Drosophila melanogaster: one gene and its partner. The gene in region 1 interacts genetically with each later gene. Each region holds a gene or a part of one and is shown on either strand. Other genes may lie near its edges.

What was found.
Region 2: of bigmax (region 1) and Pepck1, changing one suppresses a phenotype caused by changing the other (phenotypic suppression), as found in Drosophila melanogaster (one study listed by BioGRID).

The regions. Positions count from the first base shown.
Region 1 is NT_033777.3:27,284,540-27,291,426, reverse strand, and holds bigmax (bigmax), read left to right. Parts: upstream 1-2,900; 5' UTR 2,901-2,957; coding exon 2,958-3,099; intron 3,100-3,241; coding exon 3,242-3,642; intron 3,643-3,707; coding exon 3,708-3,929; 3' UTR 3,930-4,061; downstream 4,062-6,887. Other genes in the region: Hmu (hemomucin), read right to left, coding at 294-1,410, 1,747-2,047, 2,107-2,312, 2,382-2,497; CG3368 (uncharacterized protein), read right to left, coding at 4,112-5,341, 5,400-6,887.
Region 2 is NT_033778.4:18,533,236-18,541,778, forward strand, and holds Pepck1 (phosphoenolpyruvate carboxykinase 1), read left to right. Parts: upstream 1-3,531; 5' UTR 3,532-3,557; coding exon of another isoform or gene 3,558-3,641; 5' UTR 3,642-3,802; coding exon 3,803-3,834; intron 3,835-3,998; coding exon 3,999-5,910; 3' UTR 5,911-6,181; downstream 6,182-8,543. Other genes in the region: Pepck2 (phosphoenolpyruvate carboxykinase 2), read left to right, coding at 1-1,318; CG45087 (uncharacterized protein), read left to right, coding at 3,558-3,641. UniProt on the Drosophila melanogaster protein: Catalyzes the conversion of oxaloacetate (OAA) to phosphoenolpyruvate (PEP), the rate-limiting step in the metabolic pathway that produces glucose from lactate and other precursors derived from the citric acid cycle.

The DNA.
Region 1 (6,887 bases):
AAAACAGAATTATATGTTAGTCTACAACATATAAAGCGTTGCCCGTCGAGGATCATATGAGCAAGGCCCTCGGCTAGTCTGAATTTAGCTACCTTTCGACTAAAATTAACTGGTTTCGACAGCCTGAGTTGGGGCATGATAAATAAGAAACCTTTGAAAATTCCCCAAAAGTGGTTGAGATGTTGGAGGGAAAAAGATAATAATCCTAATAGGTTTTGACTGCGTGAAGAAACTAATCTCGCGTCCGGGAATATGCCCGATTAACTCAGGAGGAAGCTGATGCGTCTGCGATCTTAAAGCTCCACATTGACGCCTTGCTTGTTGATGACCTTGAGCTTCTCCTTCTTGGGTGGCTGTGTGTCCGAGGGGATATCCTCCTCAACGGGCGCGGGTTTCTCAGGCACTGTGCGCTTGACCTTCGGTTTAGAAGGCTCTGGAGTAGGAGTAGTAGGAGTAGTAGTAGTAGTTGGCTTAGGAGTAGTGGTGGTTGTTGTAGTCGTAGATGGCTTAGCTGTCGGCGGCTTAGTAGTTGTTGGCTTCGGCGTGGTTGTCGTAGTGGTGGTAGTGGTCGTTGGCTTCTTGGTTGTCGTTGTGGTAGTGGGCTTTGGCGTGGTTGTAGTAGTTGTCGTCTTGGTAGTGGGTTTCGGCGTGGTAGTTGTCGTTGTGGTAGTGGGTTTCGGAGTGGTGGTGCTAGGAGCCGCCTTGGGTTTAGGAGTGGCTTTGCTGGGTGGCACACCAATGGACGCCTCCAAGCCCTCGCCCTCGACGCGAACATTGCGCACCTTCAGCGTGGGCTGCTTGGCCTTTGGCGACTTGACACGCGCCAGGTACTGATTGGTGGGGGAGCCCAAGAACAAGAAGTCCTGGAACTCCAGGACGTGTGATACCGTGGCGGCCGACTTGTCGAAGCCATGCAGCGAGCCCACAATGTTGCCGTTCCAGTCCACACGCACGACAGTCGTTCGCTTGGGCGCCAGCACAGTGATGCTCTCCATGTGTCCCACGAAGTGAACGAATCGCTGCGAGAACTTGTTCGGATATACGCTGTTCAAGTAGCGGAAGGGCAGCTCGAACAAAGCCAGCATGCGGGCCAGGAACAGGCGCACGCTGGGGAAGCGAGTGAACAGGGTGAAGCCGTTGGGATGCTCGCTATCCGCGCTCTGGACCAATGGCACCCAGATGCCCTCGGCGTCGGGTGTCAGGTTATCGGGCAAACCGGGCAGTCCGTCGACGAACACCTCGCTCTGACCGGCCTTCGCTCCCTTCAGGTGATACTTTGTCAGACGCATCGCTCCGGTTTCGGCTACCACGATGAAGTCCTCGTTGGGACTGAGGGCCAATCCATTGGCGAAAGCCAGTTCGTCCAGCAGCACCTCGCTAACATTCTTCGAGCGATTGTATTTGAAGAGACTGGAACGTAGAAGAAAGCAAAGGCCGTTAGAGTAACCATAAGACCAGATCGAGAAACCGGTTTGCGTTCGTCTTACAGTCATACTTCTGTAACTTGTCCCTTAATTATAAGAATTAAGCTAACTTCAGTAAGCGTGGACTCTTAATTGAGATTAATTAAGTGACTCCCTCGATTCCTCCGCTACAAACATTTGAAATAATCTTAAATGGGTCACAAAACACGTTTTATAAAGAAATACATTGTAATGGGGTCCCACTGTAGCCCTATTCCGAATAGCTATCACTTTGAATTCTAGCAATATTAGACAGTGTCGCTATAATTTGCGATGAACTCACCGGCCGGAGGGGTTAGCAAAGCTGGCAAAGACGAGGTCTTCGATGGTGAAGTCCGACGAGGAGTCCGTCCAGTAGACGTCGCCCTCTTTGCTCACGGTCACGCCGTTGAAAATCTTGGCAGGGCGGTTGATGGACTTGCCGGCAAGCTCCTGGGCGGGCGAGACCAGCAGAGTCTTCTTATTGGTGCCCAGGTCCACCTGCCACAGGCCGTAGTAGGCGTCGGCGATGATGAGGTTGTTGCCCTGCGTATCAAAGGCCAGTCCCAGCGGACGGCCGCACCGGGACTCCTCGTAGATGTCCTCTGCAAGGGGATTACTATTATAAAATGAAATTCCCTTTATAGGACTCGAAAATACGCACCGCAGGGCTGGCCGATCTTGGTGACATGCGTGACATGGTTGGACGTTAGCTTGATGACCTCACCGCCGTGGATGCCGGTGTAGATCTCGTTGTTGCGGGCTATCAGGCACTCCGGGCCGTAGACCCGCCCCTCCAGCAGTCGCTCCGCTCCCTCCAGGTGAAAGTTCGATTCCAGCGCACCCTTCAGGTCTTTGGGCGGGGTCACACTGTACGAAGTGGCGATTTCTCCAAGGATTAACACGGGAATTACGTCAATTGAAACGGGCGGCACTTACATATAGTCCTTGAAGGGGAAGGTGGTGCGCGGCGGCAGACCGGGCATTAGGATGATGAGGAGGAAGAAAATCATGAAGTTCATGATCCTCACGCGCAGCGCATATAGCAGGCCCATGATTGATTCCTTGTGCGTCCGCCGATCACAAATTACAGCCCAAAAACCCGCTAAATTTAAGCAATAACCCCGAAGAAAGCGACACGACGGCAAAGTTCAACAAGAAAAAAACGTAAAAGTCATCATCCGGACCGGTAGAGGTGGCCGAAATATCGATATGACTATCATTCGTTGATTGAACGTACCACATCTTACACTCTGCTACAAAAATTAATTGTATGCAGTTTCTAAAAACTATGTTATTAGGGATGCAAATTATAACAAGCATAGTTGGTTGAATAACATCATAATTAAAGTACCTGTTAGCCTGGTACCTGATAACTGTTTTAAAAATTCCTTAAAACTATCGCACAATGTTGAATGTGACCATCAGATACCGAAGGCTTTTCGCGCTACCTTGCGACAGTCACACCGCTGCTAGTGTTTTTGTTTTGGGAATTCCAAAACGTCGCAGTTGACGATGAGCGATAATAACAACGCGTTGGCCACCAAGGAAGACGTTTTCGGCATGGAGCACGACCAGGACCACACCAGCAAGCACTACTCGCGGTGCAGCAGTGCGGGCAGCACGCACACTCCGAACTCCTCGGCGCACAATTCAGGTGGGCGAACGCTGGTCAAGATCGGTCACGCTGATCGGTCAAGAGTGCGGGGCGGGGGCAGCTGATAAAGCAGTGGCATTGAATTACTCGCTATCAGCAGCATTTTATTACATTGTACTCATGTTTCGGTTCTGTATCGCAGACGACGACGACGATAGCGGCGATGCGCGCCATTCCGCGGCCGCCAATTCCACGCTGAGTTACAAGGAGCGGAGAAGGGAGGCGCACACCCAGGCGGAGCAGAAGCGGCGCGATGCCATTAAGAAGGGCTACGACAGTCTGCAGGAGCTGGTGCCGCGCTGCCAGCCCAACGACTCCTCCGGCTACAAGCTCAGCAAGGCTCTGATCCTGCAGAAGTCCATCGAATACATTGGCTACCTTAACCAGCAGAAACTCAAGCAGGAGGACGAGGGATCGGCGCTACAAAAGGAGGTAACAGCGTTACGGATCATTAAGAACGGCTATGAGAACATGCTACAGCATCAGCAGGCGAATCCAGGGCCGGAGGAGGCACGACTCACCGATGAGGCCAAGTTTCAAGTGGTAAGTATGGAGCGCTTACCTCTATTATAACCTCTAGAATCGCCACCCACCACCCTCCTCCGTAGTTCCAGGCCATTATGGAGGAAATGTTCGAGACATTTCAACACATACCCATGGAGAACTTTAAGCAGCTGACCACCGGCATTATCCCCTGGCTGGAGGAGCACTGCAAGCCGCACATCCTGCGCAACATACTCAGTCGTACCTTGCAGCAAATGGCGCAGGAGGCTATGGAAAAACAGGAACTTCAGGCCATGGAGCAGGAGTCGAGCGAGGGTTTCAGCTGATCGCGCGGTTAGTTCATATTCTCATTGGTTATTTTAGAAATCCCTGTTTGGTAGATACTTTCGTTACGTTTACTGCGTACAAACATTAAATGCGTCATTTGAATAGTTGTAAAAGCGTTGACAAGGAAAGATAACTTTTTGGCTTAATGATTAAAGATTAGATAAAACTAGATTTGCTAATGCTAGCCGAGAGACTCGACGAGAGCCGCTTTATCCGCACTACCCAGCTGGCCTAGCAGTTCCAGCAGCACATTCCGTGTGTACGGCTTGAAGCGACGAACTCGCTCAGTGACATCCAGCGCGGTGAGCAGCGCTTCAAGGAATCCCTCCAGACGTCCCGCGCTCCACACATGACGTGCTTCGTGCTTTAGTTTCAGCACGCCCGATGTCAGCGTGTAAATCAGTCCCTCGTAGAAGTTCTCCTCCTCCAGATTCGCGGCCAACTTGGCGCTGGCCAGCAGCGCCGCCGGCAGATCGCAGCGGAATTCGTGCGACCGCACAAAGCAGGTGGCCGCCAGTTGGCGGACCTGATCACATTTGTGCCGCAACAAATGCCAACTGAGTCGGCGGAAGCGAATGAGCAGGGGATTTGGCTCTTTCCCGCCCGACGTACGCAAGTGCTCGACCTTGGACAAGAAGGCCAGAAAGAGTATGATGGATGACGTGACCTCCTGGCGATCACAGCACCTCAGCATGTGCTCGCAAGCCTTGGGCAGCAAGCAGCCCAATTCGTCGTAGTCCAGCTCACTGGGTTCCCAGGCGGGTCGTGTGTCAAACTCTGTAGCTTGGCGCTGGCCGACCAGCTTGCCCAGATTGGCGCCAAAGAGTTGAAGTGCCGCATTCGAAATGGTCCATTCGGGGTTGGTGATGTGCTCCATGGCCACCAGCAGAATCTCATTGTAGTACTTGCTCATAGCTGGCCTCAGTTCTGTGTCGCGCACAAGAACGCAAAGGTAATGCAGTACCAATGCCTCCCAGCGATCGTGATTGCTATCGAGACAAACAGTCTCCGCGGTTTGGTTTTCATTTAGCCTCTTAAGAATCTGCTGCACAGCGCGATGGAGCAGCAGCCGCTGTCGTGGATTATCGTTCTTCAGCACGTGAAGGAACATTATGGCGAAGCCGGCACCACGTCGTGTGGTGCTCACTTGACGGCTTTCAGTCAGCAGCTCTCGCTCTAGGCAGTCGTGAAGCATTTGGAATCCCGAATCGCAGCTGTCTAAGCTACTGGTGATGGCACGGGTAAGTCTGCCAATGCTCAAGCCGGCCGCCTCTATGGCTCCTTTGTGCCGGCAAAGCGTCAAAACGGAAACATTAATATTGAGGCAACGACGCAGAGTCTCGGTGTTAACTGTTTTGGCAGACGTTTGCAATTGGTAACACCCAATGCTGGTGGCCAGATCGCAACAGCCCTGCAGAAGGATAAACAAATGATAAGTTTATCAAGAGTTAAGAAATATATCTACGCACCTTCAACGTTAACCAGAAGCTCATCAGTAAGTACTTTCGACAAGCCTCTTCCTCCCCATCACACTTGAAGGAGCTTTCGCTGACCAGCAGCTGGAGACTCTCGTCCATGTCCTGGAAACTGGCTGCTGTGGCTGCCTCTTCCTGTCGCCGGGCGTTGGCCACATTGAGGAACTTGAGAATGCCGCTGAGAATTCTCTCTAGCAATGGCAACAAATCCTCCAGAGGCGTCTCCACTGCCAAGCCAGCCTTGACCACCTCGTCCAAGGCGCAAAGATAGCCAAAGAGATGTCCTCCGCTCTTGGCGGTCTGCAAAGGATCTTCGAAGAAGGGATCTAATTTACCGGTAAGCCTTTTCAGGCACTCATCAAATATCTTTGATCCAGCTTGCTCTTTTGTAACCGCCAACTGTGCGTAGAGGGAAACCAAGGAGCATTGGTCCATATCAGACGTGTGGCACAGTTCGAAGCACCGCTCCACGCACTTTTCACTGTCCACATGGCCCATCTGAATCAACAGGGAGACCGTTAGGTCCAAAGCATCATCGAAACCTTGTGGATTGTTGAGGGTTTCGAAGAGCTGTTGCGCCATTTCCTTTGGACGAAAGACTCCGTGCTCCAGGAGAAATATGCCCATGCGCTGATTCTGCTGAGGACTGCACATTTTTGCATTTTTTGCGACTTCTTCTGCATATAGCGACCTATTTAGGATTTCCAGCAACTTCAGGGCAAAGATCTTGGGTTGATAAACCTCGCTGTGGATGTCCCGCTCAATCAGATGCTGAAGATGTGAAAAGAATCGCTTGATATTCTGAGCCAATGCATGGCCACCCACTCCGATGTCCGCCTTTAGAACCTTTTGAAAGTGCTTGGCCGTGTGATTGATAATCGTTGGCATCTTGCCCAGCATCGTGTTCCGGAACTCTGAGCTTTCCAGACAGCGATGTCGCTCTACAAAGCTGTGAAAGAAATCCAGACAGTCTTCGACGGCAAAGTTTCCCAGATTGTCAACCAGAAAGCGAAAGATCAACAGCTGCGCCTCCGTCTCCATCTGGCTGCAGTTGGTCAACAGCTCGGTGCTGATCTTAAAGAAGTGCAGCTTGGAGGTAGCATATATCTCCCTGGCGAACATGCTGAAGATCAGAATCAGACGTAATTGATCGCTCGGCGACCTTTCCTCCTCGGTGGCCAGGAACTCCACAATCTGAGGATTTGCTTGCAGCAGCTCAAACAACTCTTCCCGCTGTTGGATGCGCAGGAACCACTGCGAATGAAAGTTCTGAATCTCGGCCACACTGCCGTTAAGCAACAGCTCCACACTGGCTGCAAGTAGTGCCGGAGAGCGCTGGTTGCTCAAGCTTTTCACGGGATATTGACTGGCGGCCCGAAGTCCCTTATAGCTCAGGCTGAGCCTTAGGCCATTGAAGAACTCCTCTTCGCTTTGATTCGTTGCCGCCAAGAGATCAGGCAGGGAATGAGAGTTGAGAGCGCC
Region 2 (8,543 bases), on another chromosome or scaffold:
TCTGCAATCTGGGGATGGTCAGTTTGTCAAGTGCCTGCATTCCGTGGGTACGCCCAAAAGTGGTGTCCAGGCAATGCCATCCTGGCCCTGCGATCCCGAACGCACTATTGTGCTGCACAAGCCAGCAGAAAATGAGATTGTATCTTATGGATCTGGGTATGGTGGTAACTCCCTGCTGGGCAAGAAGTGCCTCGCTCTGAGGATTGGCAGCACCATTGCCAAACGAGAGGGCTGGCTGGCCGAGCACATGTTGATACTGGGCATCACCAATCCGCAAGGTAAGAAGATCTACATAGCTGCCGCCTTTCCATCAGCTTGCGGTAAGACCAACCTGGCGATGATGACTCCTACCCTGCCTGGCTACAAAGTGGAGTGCGTGGGCGATGACATCGCCTGGATGAAGTTCGATAACAAGGGTGTGCTGCGAGCGATTAATCCGGAGAATGGATTCTTTGGCGTGGCGCCCGGAACGTCGAGGGCCACCAATCCCATAGCCATGGATACGATCTTCCGAAACTCTGTCTTTACGAACGTGGCCTCTACATCCGATGGAGGTGTCTACTGGGAGGGAATGGAAAAGGATCAGCTGAAGGGGGTGACTGTCACGGACTGGTTGGGTAAACTCTGGTCCCAGGAATCCGGAAAGCCAGCTGCCCATCCCAACTCCAGGTTCTGTACACCCGCCTCTCAGTGTCCCATTATTGATCCCGCCTGGGAGGATAGCGAAGGAGTGCCCATCTCCGCAATTCTTTTCGGAGGTCGTCGTCCCAGTGGAGTTCCCTTGGTTTACGAGGCTCGAGACTGGAAGCACGGCGTATTTATTGGAGCTGCTATGAGGAGCGAGGCCACGGCAGCCGCTGAGTTCAAGGGCAAGGTCATCATGCACGATCCCTTCGCCATGAGACCCTTTTTCGGCTACAACTTCGGCGACTATCTGGGTCACTGGCTAAGCATGGAGCAGCGTGGCCAGGTGCCCAAGATCTTTCACGTAAATTGGTTCCGAAAGAGCAGTGAGGGCAAGTTCCTTTGGCCCGGATTCGGGGAGAACTCACGAGTCCTGGACTGGATCTTCCGGCGGGTGGAGGGCGAGCAGTGCTTCGAGGACTCTCCCATTGGCCGCCTGCCCAGCAAGAATTCATTGAACTTGGATAGTTTGGAAAACATTGATCTCGACCAGCTTTTCGATCTGCCAAAAGATTTCTGGGAGCAGGAGGTGGCTGCCATAGAGAGGTACTTCGAGGAGCAGGTGGGCCACCATCTGCCAGGTGCCGTGGCCGAGGAGCTGAGGGAGCTGAAGGCGCGTGTTGCTGACATGTGATGTGTGTGTTCCATAGGTTACTTCCTAATCTAAGACCCCTTATTGCCTAAAATAAAACGAAACGAACGAGATTTTTATAGTGAAATTTGACTTGTGCCCATTCGAGAATGGAATTGGGATCGAAATTGGGTTTGGGGCGTGGCCTAGACGGGGCTTATCAGTGGTCGCCTCGGCGGAGGCCCGTCCGCAATTGGCGTAAACAAGCGTATAAATCCATAATGCCGTTTAACCTAACTTATCAACAGATCCACGCGATGAAAAACAAGCAAATAAATGCCAGAAAAAGCCAAAAAGAAAGTAAAGTTTATGGGTGAACCTTTGCAATTTTCGGTGGGTTTCCAAGGACTGATTACTAAATTCAAAGCGTGTGGTGTGATGTACACTATGGGGTGAACAGCGATAAAAAGCCAATAAGCCAAGAAACCAAAAGGCAAAATAGCTAAGAAATCGAATCCCTTAAAATAGTTCATGGGCAATGTAAAGATCCTCATAGTGATGTTTTCCCTCGGAAAGTTTTCCTGGTCGACAGCACAAATCCGGGTCTGATCTATATTTAGACGAACTCAGAGGCTCGTCCACTGATAACCCGCCCGGCTCCCTCCTCCCCATTGCCTTCTTCTCAACCAATCGCATTATTGATTATGCATATATTTAGCGAATCGATCGTCTATTGACGTAAATTCCAAATAAGCCCGAATCATCGAAATGCGCCAAGTGGCGGTTAGGTGAGAACAGGAGCGAAGCAGTTAGAGTCTGAGTCCAAGTCCAAGTCTGGGTCCAGCAATTAATGCCGATGATGAAGATTATCAGGCCCAACTAGAAAAACAAGTCCATAGTTATAAATAAACCAATCGAAAATCACGGCAACGCGTGTAGACGAATTCGATTTAATTCGCAACTGGACTTTTCGTAAAGGGAGTCAAAAATGGGGACGGGGACTGTAAGAGGGGGGAGCCAAGGACCAAGGACAACCATCTGATCAGGTTTCTCCAAGGACGTTGGACGCCAGTCTCTTCTGGGTCTAGGCTAAGTGAGCGGCTTATTATAATTATTTAAAACAATTTTAATAAAAATTATATTTGGCCTATTTGTTATGAAGTTGAATTAAGCTTGAAGTTTTAAATTAGAGTTGGCAAGCGTTTTAATTTAACATTATAAATAACACTGCTACCAAATAAATGTTTACGCAACCAATGAAAAACAGAGCCATATTTACGTGCAACTTTCCCGACTGCTTCTGTTGAACTTTTTCTTCGAGTACCCAGAGGATTCTGGGTCTTCTGGTAAACTGGATTCGGGGTACAAAGTCACACCACCGGCAGCACCTTCATTTCTCCTTCCCCAAAGACAAAAACAAGAGTGGCCACATGACAACCATCCGGGCCATGCTATTCTTGGTGCGCCCCCAGAGTCACATGAATGTGAATACTGGCCTCCAAGGCGGCCATGGCCAATTGGGGAGGCCCCCGGCTCATCTGGATGCCGCGAGGGGGGCGGATTAGCATACAAATTTTCCGTCACCGATTCTACAAATAAGCGAAAGTTTTTTTCGATTTGGCAAATGTCCAAAAACGAGAGGCCAACACATGTGGTCAAACAGGCGTAAGTGGGCGGGCGCGTGTGATGTGGCCCACCATTCGATGTTGCACCAATGTAGCTATATTTGTGGCCAATGCAGCTATAGACACATCCAGAATTTACCCAGCTGCAGGGGACAACAACTGCTGTTGCCTCAGCTGTCCGTGAACTGGTTTCTATATTCGCAGCGGCCACATTTGTATCGCATAAAATCATAAATAGAATAATTAAATTAACAGCGCGAAAGTGGCAAATATCAGGGTGTTCAAAATAACAACAAACGCTTATCAATGCAAACGCACTAGAAAACGCTCTCAGCGCCACATGAAAACAACACTCTGCTGTTGCCATGTGGGGACATACCCCATATACGTATCTGTATGCCCATGCCCCCCATTCCGTAGACCCCCCCCCCCCACCCACAACCAACTCATCGTAGCTGCGCCGCCTGTGAAAAACCAAAACAATCGCCGAGCCTCCGCCGGCAGCCAATCAGCTCGTCCGGAGTTTGACCCTCTCACTCGGCGAGGCGATCGTAAAACCCGATTTGCGTGGCGATCGGCCGACTTGTTCTAGTCGCCTCGATGGCCAGGCGTCGCCGGCTGGGTATAAAAGGCCCCGGATCGGAGCAGTTGGCATCAGTTACTCGTGGCCAGAGTAAATGGAAAGATCAAGTGAAAAGCCTACTTTCAGTGGTCTGAAAATCAAGTTGATGTTTGACAAAAAACTGTGGAAGAACATATGAACGCAAAGTCCTCGACAGTAGAACACTAATTGTGATAATTACTCAAATTGTGATAAGCGAATTAAGCAAAGTGCCAAAAACCCTTTCACGCGCAGAAAAATCTAATAAAAATATTCCAAACTTTTTTTCGAGAAAAATTCATAAAAAACAACACAAACAAAATGCCTGAGCTCATTGAACAAAGCAAAATTATGTAAGTATACATTAAAGAGGTCACTCGAAACGCATTCAATGGGGGATTTTAATGGCAATTAATTTTTAATGCAGTCCATTATTTGGGGTCCCACTATCGAAGTCAGTTAATTAAATTGCAATTTTAATAACCCACTTCCCTTTTATCTCTCTCTTTCTCTTTAGCTCCGGCAATGTCTGCGGTCTGCCCCAGTTGCACAAGCTGCGCCAGGACAATTGCGGTCTGTACAGCCACATCCGTGGCATTCCCATCTCCTATGGAAATGTGGATTTGCTGACCACCGGTGTCCGTGCCTTCGTGGAGGAGGGCATCGCCCTCTGCCAGCCCGACCAGGTGCACATCTGCGATGGCAGCGAGCAGGAGAACAAGGTGCTCATCAAGAGCCTCTTGGAGGCTGGCACCATTGTGCCGCTGCCCAAGTACGACAATTGCTGGCTGGCCCGCACCAATCCGGCGGATGTGGCCCGCGTCGAGTCGCGCACTTTCATCTGCACCGAGCGGCGGGAGGAGACGATTCCCACTCCAGTGGAGGGTGTCAAGGGAACCCTGGGCAACTGGATCTCGCCCAGCGACATGGATGCTGCAGTGCAGCAGCGATTCCCCGGCTGCATGAAGGGTCGCACCATGTACGTGGTGCCCTTCAGCATGGGTCCTGTGGGCTCCCCGCTCTCTAAGATCGGAATCGAACTGACGGACTCTGCTTACGTGGTGGCCTCCATGAGGATCATGACACGCATGGGAGCCGCTGTCTTGCGCCAGCTGGCCAAGAAGGAGGAATTCGTCCGCGCCCTACACTCTGTGGGCGCCCCTGCCAACGGACAGGTGGAGCAGCCATCCTGGCCTTGTGATCCCGAACGCACCATCATCCTGCACAAGCCCGCCGAGAACCTTATTGTGTCTTACGGATCGGGCTACGGCGGCAACTCGCTGCTGGGCAAGAAGTGCTTCGCCCTGAGGATTGGCAGCACCATTGCCAAGCAGGAGGGCTGGCTGGCCGAGCACATGTTGATTCTGGGCATCACCGATCCCAAGGGCGAGAAGAAGTACATCACTGCCGCCTTTCCCTCGGCCTGTGGCAAGACCAATCTGGCCATGCTGAATCCCTCGTTGGCCAACTACAAGGTGGAATGCGTGGGCGACGACATTGCGTGGATGAAGTTTGACTCGCAGGGAGTGCTGCGTGCCATCAACCCAGAGAATGGATTCTTTGGTGTGGCTCCAGGAACCTCAATGGAGACCAATCCCATTGCCATGAACACTGTTTTCAAGAACACCATCTTCACGAACGTGGCCTCCACCTCTGATGGCGGTGTGTTCTGGGAGGGCATGGAAAGCAGTCTGGCTCCCAATGTCCAAATCACTGACTGGTTGGGCAAACCCTGGACCAAGGATTCCGGCAAGCCCGCTGCGCATCCCAACTCCCGCTTCTGCACTCCAGCCGCCCAGTGCCCGATTATCGATGAAGCCTGGGAAGATCCGGCGGGAGTGCCCATCTCCGCCATGCTCTTCGGAGGACGTCGTCCCGCCGGAGTGCCCCTAATCTATGAGGCTCGGGACTGGACCCACGGAGTCTTCATTGGAGCAGCCATGAGGAGTGAGGCCACTGCTGCGGCCGAGCACAAGGGCAAGGTGATCATGCACGATCCGTTCGCCATGAGGCCCTTCTTTGGCTACAACTTTGGCGACTACGTGGCCCACTGGCTGAGCATGGAGAAGCGTGGTCAGGTGCCAAAGATCTTCCACGTCAACTGGTTCCGCAAGAGTGCCGAGGGCAAGTTCATGTGGCCCGGATACGGAGAGAACTCCCGTGTGCTGGAATGGATCCTGCGCAGGGTCAATGGCGAATCCTGCTACGTGGACTCGGCCATTGGACACATTCCCGCCGAGGGTGCCCTAAACCTCGATGGCATGAAGGATAAGGTGGACGTGAAGGAGATCTTCTCGCTGCCCAAGGAGTTCTGGTCGCAGGAGGTCAAGGATATTCGCACCTACTTCGAGTCACAGGTGGGCGCCGATCTTCCGGCCAGCATTTACCAGCAGCTGGACGAGCTATCTTCCCGCGTAGACAACCTGTAAGAAGGATCAATGAGGAGAGTCCCATCTACAGCATCTTTACCTGCCCACACACCTGCTCACCCACTGTGCTATCCCGTACTGACCCCATCACCAACCCAATTTGTTAACCTGTCCTAAATACCTGTCCCCAATACCTTATTTAGTCGTTTCTCTAGTTCTTAAGCCGAAGACTTCCAAACTATTTATTATATAAGCAGCCATAAGATTAGCAAGTAGGCCATACAAACAGAGAAAATTAAAAAAAAAATAAAACAACACGATTTTATAACCTACATCCTATATGAGTATTTATTTATCACAAACTTGGATTTTTGAATGTTGTGAACATTCTAAACAGTATATATACAATAGTTAATATACTAATAAATGCTTTATAGCTGCATGATTTATTTATTAACGCTTCAAACAATCAGTTAAATAGATAAACAAGTTTTAATACGTTTTAGGATTTTTAAATGATTGCTAAATAAATTTCAAATGTTATAATTATAAAATGTGACACTTGTAACTAGTCTTGCTCTTGTTTCATAACTAAGACTTTTAATATTTTTCAAAATCCTAATTTATGGTGTTAATTTGCCAAGATTATAGAAATAAATTAAGTTAAATTTTTCCCACTTGCCTTATATAAGATGAAACCGCTAGATGATTTCCCAATCATCTCCTGCAACGGCTATCCACTGCATTCGCTAGCTTTCCTCGGCTCCATTTTCCAGCCCAATGGAAGGCCGCGAAAAGCTCAACAGTCGGAGCTTTTCCAGCACTTCGGATTCACAGGAATCGGGAGCCAGGAAAAAGGCAGCCAAGAATCGGTGGGCACCACAGTTCAGCTCGAGCAGCCGCCGCCGCAGCTTCGACCGGGCGGAAGTTCGTGAGAGCGGCAGTCGCCAGCGGAAACGGAAGTGCAGAAAGCCCCGAGCGGCTGGCCGTGCAAACTGTTGCTCGTCGGTGTGTGTTGTGCTATTTGTGGTGGTGTTTGTGCTAGTGAATGTGATGGTGATGGTGTACCAGTATCGGTGTGCTGATGTTTGTCGCGGTGGCATTGTTGGTGTTGAACAATTAGCCAAGTTGCTATAACAGACCGAATTATCCGACAAATTTGATGAAAATGGTAAACATTAAACTGTAATGCGGCACGCGGAGTAAAAGTGAGTTTCCCTCTGTCTTAGTGGGTGTGTTTAAATGAGCGCGGGATCTGTGTGTGTGTGTGTGTGTTTGTACGGCACTTTGTAAGCTGCGATTTGACATGTTGATTTATGCGCTGCTCTCACTTTGCCCCCGAACGGCAATTGCCCACCCAACCCCGTCCCCTAAGCACCCAGCCCCCAGCTGGGATTACTCGTGTCCTGTGTCTCTTTCAACGGCACTTCGTCCTTTTTGTAAAGACCTCTCCTTCAGCGGCACTTGTTGCGCTCACAGGACATTCGCTTAATTGCTAATCCTCGCGCCCAGACGCGTCTAATTACACGTAAGTTTGCGCCATTTCTGTCTATCTAACGACGTCACTTTGTGCCCACCCGCCGGCCGTTTAAAGTGCAAATTGGCAGGCGCCTGGGGCATCAAATGTGGATTGCGCGCTTGGGTGGCGAGGTGGTGAGGGGGCTGGGGTGTTTGAAAAGCGGCCCGGAGGTCACTTAATATGCCATCAACATGAGATTTGCACAAATGGCCCCGGCCTCAAGAATTATGTGCTGCAATAAAATCGATGCGTGGGCGGAGCTTCGGGACTCAAGTGGCGGCTAATGACCAACTTGCGACGTGACTTTGGCCAGGATTTGTAATTTGCGAACTGACCAGCCCAGAACCAGCAACACCCCCCTTCCACCATCAGCCGTATACATACTCGTACTCCTAGATCTTAAGTGTTTTATGGACTTTCCCTGTTTGTGTTGTGCACACACTCAGTTTATTTTTACAGCAGAGACAGGGGGTGAAAGTGCCCCGTCGGCATGGGTGGCTGGGCCGGAAGGTGGGGACAGTTGGGGTCTGAATAGTAGGCTGGGTGGGTGGTGTTAAGTATGCGTTTAACGGGTGCGGGCTTAATTACAAGCAAAGTTTACCAAAGGGTTGTCCCGAGAACTTCTCTATGACGCGATGGAGGCCTGCAATTTAATGACGGTCCGTGCAGGAAGAGTCATTACTCCGGCCACCTTGTACTCGAATGAGAAATGATGATGGCCAGCCGGAGCACCAAGGGCGCTAAAGGAAGAGCCGCAGACGGAAAACGGAAAGCGAAGAGTAGAAAAGCGGAAAAGCAAAGAGGTGCCAGTGCAGGCGGACCCGAAGCCATAAACCTGATTGAAGCCCAGCCCACGCATTGGCATTTGTATATGCAAATGGGGCTTAACCCCATTCAAATTATCCACACATCGCTCCCTGCCATGCATAAGTTATGGGCTCAGGTAGCGCAACTCGGTTTAAAGTCAATGGAATCCATCAATAATTCCATCTGCTGCCAGAACCAAGGGCTCACATTTCCTTTAGAATTCAGAAATCTGTAGCAATTATTATCTTACACAAGCTTACCTTTTCTCGGCAACCCATCCGGGCATCAGGACCCTGGTGTAATACAATAAGCTGGCCAAAAAATCCCCTCAAGGCCCCCCAACTCGTTGGCCTTTATGCATACACAA